2 linked regions of the Arabidopsis thaliana genome follow. The protein of the gene in region 2 binds, or shares a complex with, the protein of the main gene of each other region. Each region holds a gene or a part of one and is shown on either strand. Other genes may lie near its edges.

The links.
Region 1: RNEE/G (region 2) and RHON1 share a complex: the UniProt entries of both Arabidopsis thaliana proteins name them as parts of the chloroplastic degradosome-like complex.

Annotation. Positions count from the first base shown.
Region 1 is NC_003070.9:1,891,726-1,896,308, forward strand, and holds RHON1 (Rho termination factor), read right to left. Parts: upstream 2,466-4,583; 5' UTR 2,354-2,465; coding exon of another isoform or gene 2,308-2,353; exon of another isoform or gene 2,223-2,307; 5' UTR 1,957-2,222; coding exon 742-1,956; 3' UTR 543-741; downstream 1-542. Other genes in the region: AT1G06200 (Peptidase S24/S26A/S26B/S26C family protein), read right to left, coding at 2,879-2,963, 3,062-3,168, 3,266-3,449, 4,037-4,209. UniProt on the Arabidopsis thaliana protein: Binds to and supports processing of specific plastid RNAs. Associates via its C-terminal Rho-N domain to single stranded regions of 16S and 23S rRNAs or to rbcL mRNAs. May be involved in targeting transcripts to RNases such as RNE or RNase J.
Region 2 is NC_003071.7:1,472,796-1,480,889, reverse strand, and holds RNEE/G (RNAse E/G-like protein), read right to left. Parts: upstream 6,120-8,094; 5' UTR 5,930-6,119; coding exon 5,835-5,929; intron 5,565-5,834; coding exon 5,477-5,564; coding exon of another isoform or gene 5,461-5,476; intron 5,322-5,460; coding exon 5,109-5,321; exon of another isoform or gene 4,941-5,108; coding exon 4,682-4,940; intron 4,605-4,681; exon of another isoform or gene 4,594-4,604; coding exon 3,533-4,593; intron 3,451-3,532; coding exon 3,133-3,450; intron 3,036-3,132; coding exon 2,994-3,035; intron 2,728-2,993; coding exon 2,603-2,727; intron 2,511-2,602; coding exon 2,363-2,510; intron 2,054-2,362; coding exon 1,981-2,053; intron 1,862-1,980; coding exon 1,749-1,861; intron 1,634-1,748; coding exon 1,514-1,633; coding exon of another isoform or gene 1,445-1,513; exon of another isoform or gene 1,351-1,444; coding exon 1,195-1,350; intron 1,071-1,194; coding exon 876-1,070; 3' UTR 680-875; downstream 1-679. Other genes in the region: AT2G04280 (calcium ion-binding protein), read left to right, coding at 1-613. UniProt on the Arabidopsis thaliana protein: Involved in intercistronic processing of primary transcripts from chloroplast operons. The endonucleolytic activity of the enzyme depends on the number of phosphates at the 5' end, is inhibited by structured RNA, and preferentially cleaves A/U-rich sequences.

The sequences.
Region 1 (4,583 bases), on a different chromosome or scaffold from region 2:
CGATCTTGATTTTACAGATACTGGTTCTTAGCTAATAAATTTAAACCGATATATCTTAAAAAAAAAAAAACCATTACCTAAGAAGCACCATTGGTATTATCGATGATCCAGCGATGAATCCAATATAAGTTATAATAAATTCATCACCATCAACTAAACTAAACTAAACTAAACTAAACTAAGCCAAATAATGGTCCTCAACCAATGAGAAGCACAAAATGTAAAAAACGTGGTTGACAAGTGACAACTAAACCAGAGAGTGGTGATGATTTTTATCAAGTACCCTGGCTAGGTCTGGACCCACATTCAATCAGCCAGCCGAACCCAATTACATTTTTGATAAAGCCTTGGAGTAAGTTTCCGAACCAAAGAAGCGGTTTAGCTACTCTAATACCATTCCTGATGAGCTTCAACAACATGCAAACACTACACCTTTAGAGTCTCAGAGCATTTGTAGCTGCTACTTGAGAGATTTGAGTGACCTATATTATAGACTCTTTTAAGTGTCCGAACAAGTATCAACCTGTTGTGTTGGTAATAGATTTTTGAAAATCCATATGATTGAACAGTAAATAATGCGTCCTGAAAACTGTAGTTGACAAGGTACATCAGTGTAATAATAATAACTTAAAAGAGAAGAAGGTAATCCTAGTAAATCAAGAACATCAAAGCCAGCATTTTCCAAACAAACAAAATACAGAGAAAGTAACTCATTTTAACTGGTGCATACTAGAGCAAGGTTCAGCTGGAATCACTACCAAGCAACTCCACTAATTCGGCTTTCTTCATCTTTGACAACCCTTTTAGTCCCCGTGACTTTGCTATGCCTCTAAGTTCGACCAGCTTCAATTCACTCAAGTCTTTCACGGCTTCTTCCTCAGCTTCATCACTATCTTCATCAGCATCATCGAGAGACTCATCATCATCTGATAACACATCTAAAATACCATCATCCTGTGATAACACATCAAAAGTAACATCATCATCCTCCTCCTCTTGATAAAATGATGATGACTCTGGTTTCAGCTCTGAATCTGGTTCAAGCATAGTTGTCACAGGCCCAGGTTCTGACTCATTTTCAGGCTCATGCTCATGCTCATACGCAGGCTCATGTTCAGGCTCATCATGCAACTCTACTGTATCCTTCTTCTGGGTCCAGGTTACACTGTAACTTGATGATTGATCAAAAGTTGCCTCGCTAGAATAAGCTGGCGGTGATTGAGATCTTGGTACTGGCGACTTTCTTCTGAAGCTTGATGTTGGTCTGGTAAAGGATGATGCATTATTATCTTTGTTCCCTGAAGTGACAAGATTTCCGGTGCGATCTTGTTTGTCAACAGTATCTCCTTGTACTTCTCCCTGGCTGCTAAATTTGCTAACTTGCCTCTTGCTTTGCTCTCCCGAGTGCTTCCTTAGTAACTTAAGAAGAGAGTCAACAGTTTCACTTTCTTTTCCCTGCCCTTTAGAAGCTTCTTCAATCTTTTTTTCTTCTTTCTTTGCTGCAGCACGAGCTCGGAGCTGAGCTTGAACCTTTCTGAAAAGCTCCACGATCTCTTTCTCTCTAGGTCCAGGGGATGAGGTAGCTTGGAATTTGGGGGAACTAGACAGGTTGAATAAAGGCCCATTTCTTGAAGACAACATATCAGAGTTTTCGATATCAAAATCTTCTCTCCCTCCGCTTTGCCTGTTGTTTCCCCGGTAACCATGCTTATTAAGTCTTGAGAAATCAGGATTTCTCCTATAGCCGCCAGAACTTGCTCGGCACACAAAAGAACTTCTATTGGGGACAGATTTCAGACGCCCATTCTTGTGATCGAGACAGGAAGAGCAAGGTAATATGGCAAGTGTTCTTCTTGAAACAGCAGAGTTAAAGAAGCAACGGCTGTCTGAAAGTGTGTAACCTGTATTACCAAGCAAATACACAACATAGAGTAAGCAGATTGAAAGATAGAACATTCGTTATTCATAGAACCCTAGAGGCAGGCCAGTACAGAAGCAAGTTGCATTACACACACGAATAAGCAGAAGTCTATAAAACTCAAGAGAATCATTTCATCGAACAACTGGTGGACAACAAACCAAAAGCAAAATGATTTCTCCACACACATGCCGTTTCCGCCTACAGTGACAGGGGCATAAAACACTAGGTGCTCGGCGAGAATTCAAGGAAGAACAGTAACAATATTCCCGGAAAACAAATAGAGACGCACATAGATAGATGCCTTCACAATTATCAAAATAAAACAGAAAAATTATCGACAAGCGAGAAAGAGAGAGACATGAAAAGGGTACAGGATAGCGAAGTACCAGGGACATAGTCAGAAGTCAAATGGAAAGTTCCCGACATCGCCATGAACAGACTTCAGGAGCAGAGAAGAGAGATTTAAGCTTCTTCTTGCATTGCCTTTTCCTTGTCGACTCTCGCGTTTTCTCTGGCTTATCTTGGTAACACAAAAATGTTGATATTGGGCTTTATGGGCTTTGTGAAATTGCCGACAAAACATAAAATAAACCGTGACATTTCAGAAGCGATTGCCCTAACGCAAACCAATAATCTATATTCGGTCTAATCTCGGTTACAACTCTTCCAAACCGAATTCAGAAATCAATTTCATATTAATATTAACGGTACAGTCTTCCCCGGTTCGGTTTAAAACCATGGGGTGGATTCTCTATAGAAATGGTTGTTTATTATAGAGAGGATGAAGCTCATGAAGAACCTTTTCCTCAAGTCAACACTCAACAGCATCCGACGTATTAAGCTTAAGTACCAACGGGCCAACATTTGCCACAAACACCTCCAATGACAACTAAATTGGAGTTTATAAGTGAAACATCGACACAGTGAATGAAAATGTGGTACAAGAAAGGTTCTTCATTATGACGCCTTGTGGCCTTTAGCCAATTCATCCACGTCAAGTTCTACCGCCAGGATTGGGGAATCCTCGTCCATGGCAAATTCACTGATAAAAGCAACATTTTCCAGGATTTGTTTTTCCTCAGTAATAAAAGAATGACAGAAAGATAAAGCTGATAGGGGACAATAGAAATCTTCTCTTACCTGTTGCTTACTGGACCATGATCCACTGCTGTCCTCAGACAATATATAGCTCTTCCCACTATGTCCGCCATTGAAATTGGACCAAATGTTCGACTATCATATGCTTCCTTATTAATACATACCAAAGTATACATAGATTTAGTTTCTCTTATGTAAGCGCTACATGGATAAGTAATTATGTAAGGGAGAAAGTAAGTGGTGTACTTTAGATTTCATCTCTTGATTCTCAGCAACGACCCAGCACTGATCCTTTTCGAGAACAAAAGGCTCATCTTTCTCATCACTTGATACCATTTCAGATCCCTCTAAAGCTGCTAGTCTTCTGACTATATACTTATTTGTTTCATTCGGGTCCTTCAAGACAACAGCATCCCCTACGAAAATGTACCTAGATAACAAAGCAAGAAATCCTGATGAGCATCACTAATGATATACACACTGAACCTAGAAAAGGCTGCGAGCTAGGGTTTAGACTGATTATTGGATACATTAAAAAGCTGAAACCAAGAATTTACATTTTCAATGAGCTCATCGGAGTTAAATATACTTGTCTGTTCCAACCAACTCAATTCTGTCCAATTCATTCTGTCAAAGTAAGAAGACATATACATATACACCCACTACACATTTTATCATAAGCAAAACAACAAGCATTGTTATAACTTTTTGCAAACATTTTAATCCTCGATTTCCTCTTTCTCCTACACTACATACAAGTTACAACTTCCAAATGCAAGATAAGAAATAAAAAATAATGTAAAAGCCCATGACTTTAGCTAATGGAAATTAAGTACAGCTCCTACACAAGAAAGGAAACACAAATAATCCAACGTTTATGACTTCAGAAAGATAAACATGATCCCATATCCCCACTAGATAACTAGCATACGGAGCAACATTTCATAGAACACCAAGTGGTAACTTGTTTATGTAAGTGGAACTAAAAGGACTAACCCTTAATGCCAAGAAACATACCTTGTATCAACAACTGGTAGCTTACGGACAAGTAGCGTGCTTTCATTTGTTCCCATGGTTGGGGCCATCTCTTTTCCTTTGTCCGAGTGTAAGTAGCTTATTCTTCCATAGAATAGATTCTTCATGACTACACCAAAGAGTTCCCGGTCACTGAGCTTCTCTCTAGTATGTTTCTGCAAATAGAGTAACTCAAGCATGGTAACTAAAAACAGATTTTACAACGTGTTTAAATTTTTTTTTTTTTAAAAAAAAGACAGATTCTACATGACAGTTTTAAACAACTAAGTGAGCTGAAAAAAATGGATTCAGAAAGAAAAAAAAAAGTATCTGCAGCAGAAGAAACAACAAGGACCAGAACAATCATGACGGCTTTTTTTGAGTCATTGGATTTAATCAGATCATCTGAAAGAAAGATCTTGAGATCATAGTCGCTTTTTTTGAGTCATTAGATTTAATCAGATCATCTGAAAGAAAGATCTTGAGATCATAGTCACAAGTGAAACTAATATGATAGAAGTACTATCACAAATTCAATAGCAATGATTTG
Region 2 (8,094 bases):
CACTCCCATGAAGCTCGCGGCTGTCAAAGATACGTTGATAATGAGGAAGTTTGGATCTGTAGAACCAGACAATTATTGGTACAGGGTTTGTGAAGGAGATGCAGAATCTGTTGTTAAACGACCGTGGCATCTGTTATGGAAATCAAGAAGGTTGATGGAAATCGTCTCTGCTATTGCATCAAGGTTAAACTGGGACTACGATGCTGTACACATTGAGAGAGGAGAGAAAGCAAGAAACAAGGAGGTTTGGCCTAATCTTGAAGCGGATACTTCCCCGAGCGCTCTCTTGTCGACCTTGCAGGACAAAGTTGAAGAAGGAAGGCATCTCTACATCGCAACAAATGAAGGAGAATTATCCTTCTTCAACCCTTTGAAAGATAAGTACGCCACTCATTTCCTTTACGACTACAAAGATCTTTGGGATGAGAGCAGTGAGTGGTATTCAGAGACTACTAAGCTTAATGGAGGCAACCCGGTCGAATTTGATGGTTACATGAGAGCATCTGTTGACACAGAAGTATTCTTGAGAGGGAAGAAGCAGATTGAAACATTCAACGATCTTACAAACGATTGTAAAGATGGAGTTGGGACCTGCAATGCTGCAACTTCCTGATCTCTGTCATATTCCTCATTTATTTGTTGTTTGAATCGTCTTGTACCACTTGTTTCCAGTTTTGTATTGTAGAATAGCTTTGTATTTTCCATTACTGTTGTTTTGTCTCAGTGACTTTTAGACTAATATATGTCCTAGTTTGGTTCTATTTCTTTGGAATGCAAAATCTTGGGAAGAAGATGATATTGATACACAAAAATTGATTCGGTACAGTATTATTTGATACAACTAACAAAAGTGATGCCAAGAAAGAAAAATAGTCTCATCGCCTTTGTTTACCACTGGTCTTCTCCTTCTTAATTGGAATTAGAGTGAGCTTCTTCTTGCCGGAGGAGTCTGCTATGGCGTCAGCTTTCTTGAGCAGTGAAATGGCAACTTGATGCTGTCTTTCGTTTACTGTCTTCTCATCCATGAACGGTTTAACCTCAAAGGTTCCTCTGGTGAAATGTCTAGCAACCTACAAAAGACATTTATTATTCCTCGGTTGTGTCAGAAAAGCTAATATTCAGACACAGCCTCATCAATGCAAGCTTCTGGCTAAAGCGAATCACGACAGAGGAGTAAGAGTGTGCTGAAGGTACCTTTAAGAGAATCCATACTTTCAGGGAACTACTGAGGATTGCAAGCCGCGTCCTCTTCCCCGTAGTCAAGAAGCTTGACATATGACTGTCCACCCGCAATATGAATCTTGGCCACGATTTGGGGTTTTCCAGGTCTCCTCTTTTCTCCATCTTTGCCTGAAATTTTTAGGCAAAACATGGAACAAAAAATCATCGAAAAGGATGAAGAAAATTATGAAGAACAACAATAGTAGGCAACAACGACAATCATTTATTCAAGATGTTCTTCATTTGGTTGGAAAGAGAAGTAACAGAAAAGAATCGAGATTATAACACTCACAAGCTGCCGACAAATCTCTTGTTCAATTTTGGAAAAGGTAGTCTCCAGTGCCTCCACTCTACCAGTTGCGTGACAGCAAGAACATGGTTCACTGATCATAAATGTTACACTCGGCCGAACCTGTGAAAAAAATAGATTCACTACAATAAGTATAAATCGAGGGGGCGTGCTATGCCAAAAGAATTAATTAGAAGCTCTACAGAAAGAGATAAACATCCACAAGTTGGGACTATACCCTTTTTCTTGTTATCTCCATAAGTCCGTGTCTAGACAGCTCTGATACTTTTACCAGTGACCTATCTCTCTCCACGGCTTTCTTAACCTCTTCATAAACGAGTCTCTTATTTGCTGAAACCCAAAAATAAAAAACAAGAGTATACAGGACATCCATCATTCAAGAAAGGGATTTGCACATCGAGAATATTTGAATATGTGATTGGATGAATAAAAATGACATTCTAACTCACATTCATCTGCCATGTCGATGAAATCTACCACAATGATACCGCCAATATCTCTCAGCCGAATCTCCCTTGCAATCTGTTACATGATCGCATCGAGTATTACTTAATAAATGCTTTTCAAGATCAGCATATTGCAAAACTTGAGTAGACTTCAAGGAGAACTACACAAGACAAGCAGGCCTCAAACAGTTACTCTTTCTCCATGTTAAAAATTTCCTACGGCATTCACTAGTCATCAGATAATTCATACACCCATAAATATGCTCGAATCTGACCGCATTACGCTCTATAGAATAATTACTAGGGCCCTTTTCAGAGGCAGAATTTCTGCCGCAAAAGGTTGGCAAATGAATATGCAATCTAGTAGTCAAAATGTATCACATACTTGTCTGGCAGCAGCAAGATTAACTTCTAAAATAGCTTTCTCCTGTGAATTACCCTGACCAAACATTCCATGTCCTCCGTTCACATCAATAGAGACTAACGCCTCAGTTTGTTCAATCACCAAAGAACCTCCATTGGAAAGTGGAACTCTGCAAGAGGCAAAATACAATTTACATGAAGATATATGTTAAGGAAAAGGTGGGTTATAACTCCGGACAGTGCAGTGTTAGCCCCTTCTTACCTTTTACTAAGAATACCTTCGATTTCCTCCTCAATTTCATATAAATCAAAAAGAGGGATACCCTTATCATGCAATTCCACTCGATTACAAAGATCAGGTGCCATATCCTGCAGGTAGTGTGTGACCTGTAAACTAATACTAGTTAGTGAAATAATTTGGATATACAATCTGCTCTATTGAGTGGGCCATTCTAGATTACGGTAAAAGTTTAGTTATCTGCAAGTGCAACAGTTGGATAACTGGAGCTTTTACTTGAGCATTTGAAAATAACATTCAAGATATATGTAAATCAATAAATGTAGAGGGTAATAAAATCGATGTTTATGAAAGGGAAAGTCTCCTTCATTTCTTATTATGGAAAATAGAATTGAGCAAAATGGGGGCAATGTACCTCATGGTATGTCCTGGGAGAGTCAACCACCATCTTCTCAACCTGGAAAAAACCAAGATATTACTGTCACTTGAGAATTCAACACATAGAACCTAAAGGGGCCACTGGAGGAGAAATGTATGGAAAATGAGCTAACTACCTTGTCATTGAAATAGTCCTGCACAACTGATAGTGTTTGACCCATTGCTCTATGTAGCAGCGCTGGAATGGCTCCTTCCACACCTTCATCTGCAGCAAGGGCTGCAGATTTTGCTTCATCTGTAATGTTCTTCCAGGTTAAAAGCAGACCATCTAAGTCTTTCTGCAGTTCTTCTAGAGAATGGCCAGCAGCTACAGTCCTTACAGTCAGGCCAAAACCTTGAGGCTGCAATGTTTTTGCTATAACTTTTAACCGGGTTCTCTCAACTCCCGAAATTTTTTTCGAGACTCCAATTCGTTTGCAACGAGTCAATAGTACCTATAAGGATAAACTTTATTTCAGAAAATAGAATAATAAGAAACAAATGGAAAAGAGTAACGGGATAAAACATATCTCATACCCAGAATCTACTTCTCAGCTTCGGGTAAGCAGTAAGAGTTGGACCTTTCGTACCGAGGCCCTCTTTAACAACTTGCACAATAATTTTGGTTCCTTTCCGAACTTGAATCCACTTATTATCCTTAGACGACATCACCTTAGAAGCTTTTGCAACTGATGCGTTCGAATCAAGAGAATCTGCAGAGTGTCCTCTCTCCATAGGAATATGGCCATTCTCAGATCCAACTTCCACAGCGCCATGGTTAACTACAGTTCCATTAACTAGTCCAGCTAGATGATCTGAGACATGATATTCATCATTTTCATGCTCATCGTCATCATCATGAAAAGATTCCCCAGGGTCATTTGAATCAATGTCTAATAAACTACTGGCTTCAAAGTCATAGGAAGCATGTTCGATTTCATGGGGAGCTGGAATGTCATTCATAGAGAGGATCGGAGAACCATCAGCTGCTTGCTTCTTCGATCCATCACAAAATGGAGGGAATATGAATGGTTCCCTGTTTGACTTAATGTCCATGAAAGAATGTCTAGCACTTCCGATATTCACAAATGCACCACCCATATGGGGCACAAACTTAGTGATTACGCCCAGGTAAACACTATCACACTGCACATTGGTCTTAACTGGTTCCAACAATAACTCGACCAGCTTTCCACCTTCCAATACAGCAATCCTTTGCACCGTACATATAGAAGAATTGATCAGTATCGTAGTAGCAATGGATTCTGATTGGAAAAATCCACCATCTGGTAAGAGAGTCTCAGTCAGCTGGTGATTTTGTTCATCGGTATTTAAGTTATTTTCATTGTCATCACAGCTTTCAACATCTTGTTCGCTATCAGTCTGCATATTCCTTTCATGTTGTAAGGTAATAGATTCTTGAATCAACCACGGTTCCTCGATAGGCTGATAGTTGTCAGAAAATAACGCACTTAAGTTTGAGTTCTCTGACGAAAAGGCTGCAAGCTCATCACATAAGAAAGATTCAGCTCCTACTTGCTTATCATTCAGATGTGTTCTCGGGACTTCTATAGCACTATCGGCGGAAGTGCATTCATCTGCCAAACCACTGGAAGCATTTAAGTTTTAAAACATTTTGCAAAGGATGAAAAGAGACTGAACAAGGAGGAACCACCGAGATTTTACCTTCGCTTTGAGCTGGGGTAACACAGTTTGGAAAAAGGTAAGCATCATCAATCCAAGACCCCCATCCGTAGGATTCTTGTGATTTTGAGGAAATACTCATACTCATCCATGAATCCCTTATAATTATTTTTCTGTCTTGATTGACAGAGGAAGGAACTGATAACGAAAATTGTGGCCCTGGTCTCCAGATGACATCCGATGAAGATCCATATCCAGCTTTTAACAGATAATTATACCTGAAATTTACACCAGAAGCAATCTGCCAAGCATATTAAGTTAAAAGCAAACACGACATCTGAACTCACTTTCAAGAATTGAGGTTGGTTCCTTTTGTTACTACGACTAAACGTTCAAACGTTTTATGTAAATTAAGATACATCTCTACTTATGTTCGCTACGGCTTAAGTGAAACAAAAGAATAGATTACCTTGACTTTAGCTTCCCATTCATTATCATTTTCCGTAGGATACATTGAGATTGCGCAGTCTGGCTCCCAGCTACCTAATGTAGAAGGATCTCCAGTAACGTAGAGATGTTCATTGGCTGCCAGATCAGCTTCCACAATCCAAACGACCTCGCATAATCCTTTGAGACGACTAGGTGGCTGTTCTGAGAATACAGATAACAAAAATCTCAGTGGCTGAAAATGCAAACAAAGAAACTTCACAAGTTGAGGCATGACTCAACTGAAATTCCATGAAAAGACAAACTGAGAACACCACAGGAAAGTTAAACCATGATATTCTCTGAAAACTTTTAAGTTTTGTACTCCCAATTACCTTGTTGTGCACTTACAATAGCAGACCTTGGACGTAAACGAGAGACCCCAAAGCACAAGGTAAGCCTAAACGTCTTTCCACGCTCAACATGAGAGAACATATATCTGTTGAACAACAGAGATTCCAAGTTAGTCCAAAGTATCATTTCCTTTGGATTCATGCATATATTTTTCCCTGGTCTATAAAATGAGTTTCAGGGGAGAGCACTGTGAGATATGAACTCAAGAAACTGAGTACAAACAAATGTTTCAATCCCGTTCAGAACCTAAGAAACCCACTTCCACAATAGATTCAAAAATCGAAAGAAGATAAGAACAGGAATTAGAATCCCACAGACAAAGTGTATGATAAAATGCCTCAATGAAAGAACTTACGAAGAAAGCGGAAACCCAGAAGAAACGAGCCACGAGGCGCGTGAAGAAACGGAAAATTGAGGAAGACGACGCCATGGAACTTCAGTAACATCCATGGTATTGAGTTGCTATGAAGAAGTTCAGCAATACACGGAGCGGTGGGACGAAACGAGCGGAATTGAAAGCGACAGTTTTTGAGCTGGTGAAAAGAGATTCGAAGCGAATAGATGTGGCAAAAAGCAGCTCGGATTTCTGAAGAATGCTTAGGAATTGGTGAATTGGATTCCGGGAAGGTGGAGAAGATAGACGATAACGGAAGGATAATGGTGGCTTTGGCGCCTTGCACTGACACGTGCGGTAGATATTGTCTCACACGTGTGTAGTTTTCCAAAGCCCAACAACAACTCATAGTTAGATATGTGGTCTACTTTAGACCCATTAATTAAGGTCTAAGCCCAACGGGAGAATTTTGAAATGTTCAAAATGATGATATCAATTGTGATTGGTAAGAAGATTATGGCATTTTTAGGGGGTTATAGGCTCGACAGACTTAAACGCAGCGGATGAGAATGCGAATGTTGGAGTTTTAAAAAAACGGGTGAATACTAATAAAGGTTATTACGTGATTAGAACGACAAATTTCTGATTGGTAAAACATTTAAGTAGCCATGTATGGGAATGAAGAGAATATGTCACATGGTTCATTGCATAGTATGGGCCTCTGAAAGAAGAATAGCCATAATAACAGTGTAGTCCCTTTGTAATATGGAGTCTATCATTTGATTTTCTAACATCATCAAAGTTTGTTAGATACTAACCAGAATATAGTGTGTTTCTGACAGACTTTGTTTTTATATTGGTAATGTATTGACGAGTAGTTACCCGCTAGCCACATTGTTGGTACATATGCTTCTCTATTTCGATTGTTTTATATAGTTTTGGTAGAAGGAGCTTGGTTCTAACATATGCTCTTCAAGGTTGAAGATTTTTATTTCTTAAGAGCAAATATTTTGAAATTGTTACATTGTTGTGTTTGTATATGCTTTTTGTATTGAATTCAACGAGATATTTTGTTATGTTTTTTTAGTTTTGTTTCCAAATTTTACTCACTATGGCAGCTCAATGAATTCAGAGTCCATGTACAAATCTTAAACATTGGTCTTTTTCATACTAAAAGAAAAAATTGTGCCCTTTTTATGCTAATAAATCTTAAAACTCTTTTAAATTGGCCTTTCTTCATACTAAAAAAATATTTGGACCTATTTTCATGCTAAAAAATTCTTATAAATCTTTCAAAATGACACTTTTTCATACTAAAAAAATTGGACCTTTAAATTTACCCAAAATAATTTAGATCCAGAAATATTGCTCCCCTTTCACCCCCAATGAGCCGGCCCTAACTGTGGAAAGCTTCAATATATTCTATTTTCAGAATCTACAGCTTAATCATGCGTTATTTGTACAATCAAGACATGATATAGGTTTCAGAAACATGACTCACGCCCAATCATTTGTGGTCTAGTGGTAAGGGAAGCTTTAGTGAAGTGTAAAACACATTTACTTGCAAGTGCATAGAAACAATGTCTTGTTTCTATTTATTTGTTTAAATACATTGATTATATATATATATATATGATTTAGAGGATCTAGAAAGCACTTCTTCCCAAATAATTTTTCTCATTTGTTCTCTAGCATTTCTTTTATATAAATGACACAAAGCTCTTGTACTCTAAGTTTATACATCAATCTTGTTTTCATTTACTTGAAACTTTACTAAGAAGAATCAAGATATAATAGATGAATAATATTGTTATATACCTTTTAGTTGTCAGATTTTTGATCTTAATAATTGTCTTATTTTGATGTCTAGAACATCCCTTGAGACTTGGCTGAAAAACTTGATATAATCAGTGAACTAAAGCCAGATAGAACGATCACTTATCTTCATATTCGTCGAGCAACATTTGCAGTTTTGAGTAAAAATAAAATATATATTTCTTCTAAGAATATCATTTTAATCAAAATTGCAGAGTACTGTTGGACGGTCTCAGGTTCCGAGAATATTAGTGACGCACGTCACATCCACACCATCGATATGGAATACACACCATATTCTGGTCATTATCTGACATACTTTGCTGTTGTCACAATATCAAAAGATACACTCTATATTACAAAAGGATTACATTACTATTATGTTTATTCTTCTTTCGAAGGCCTACAATATATGCAATGAACTATGAGACATAATAAATATTATTAAATATTTTATTTATTTTAC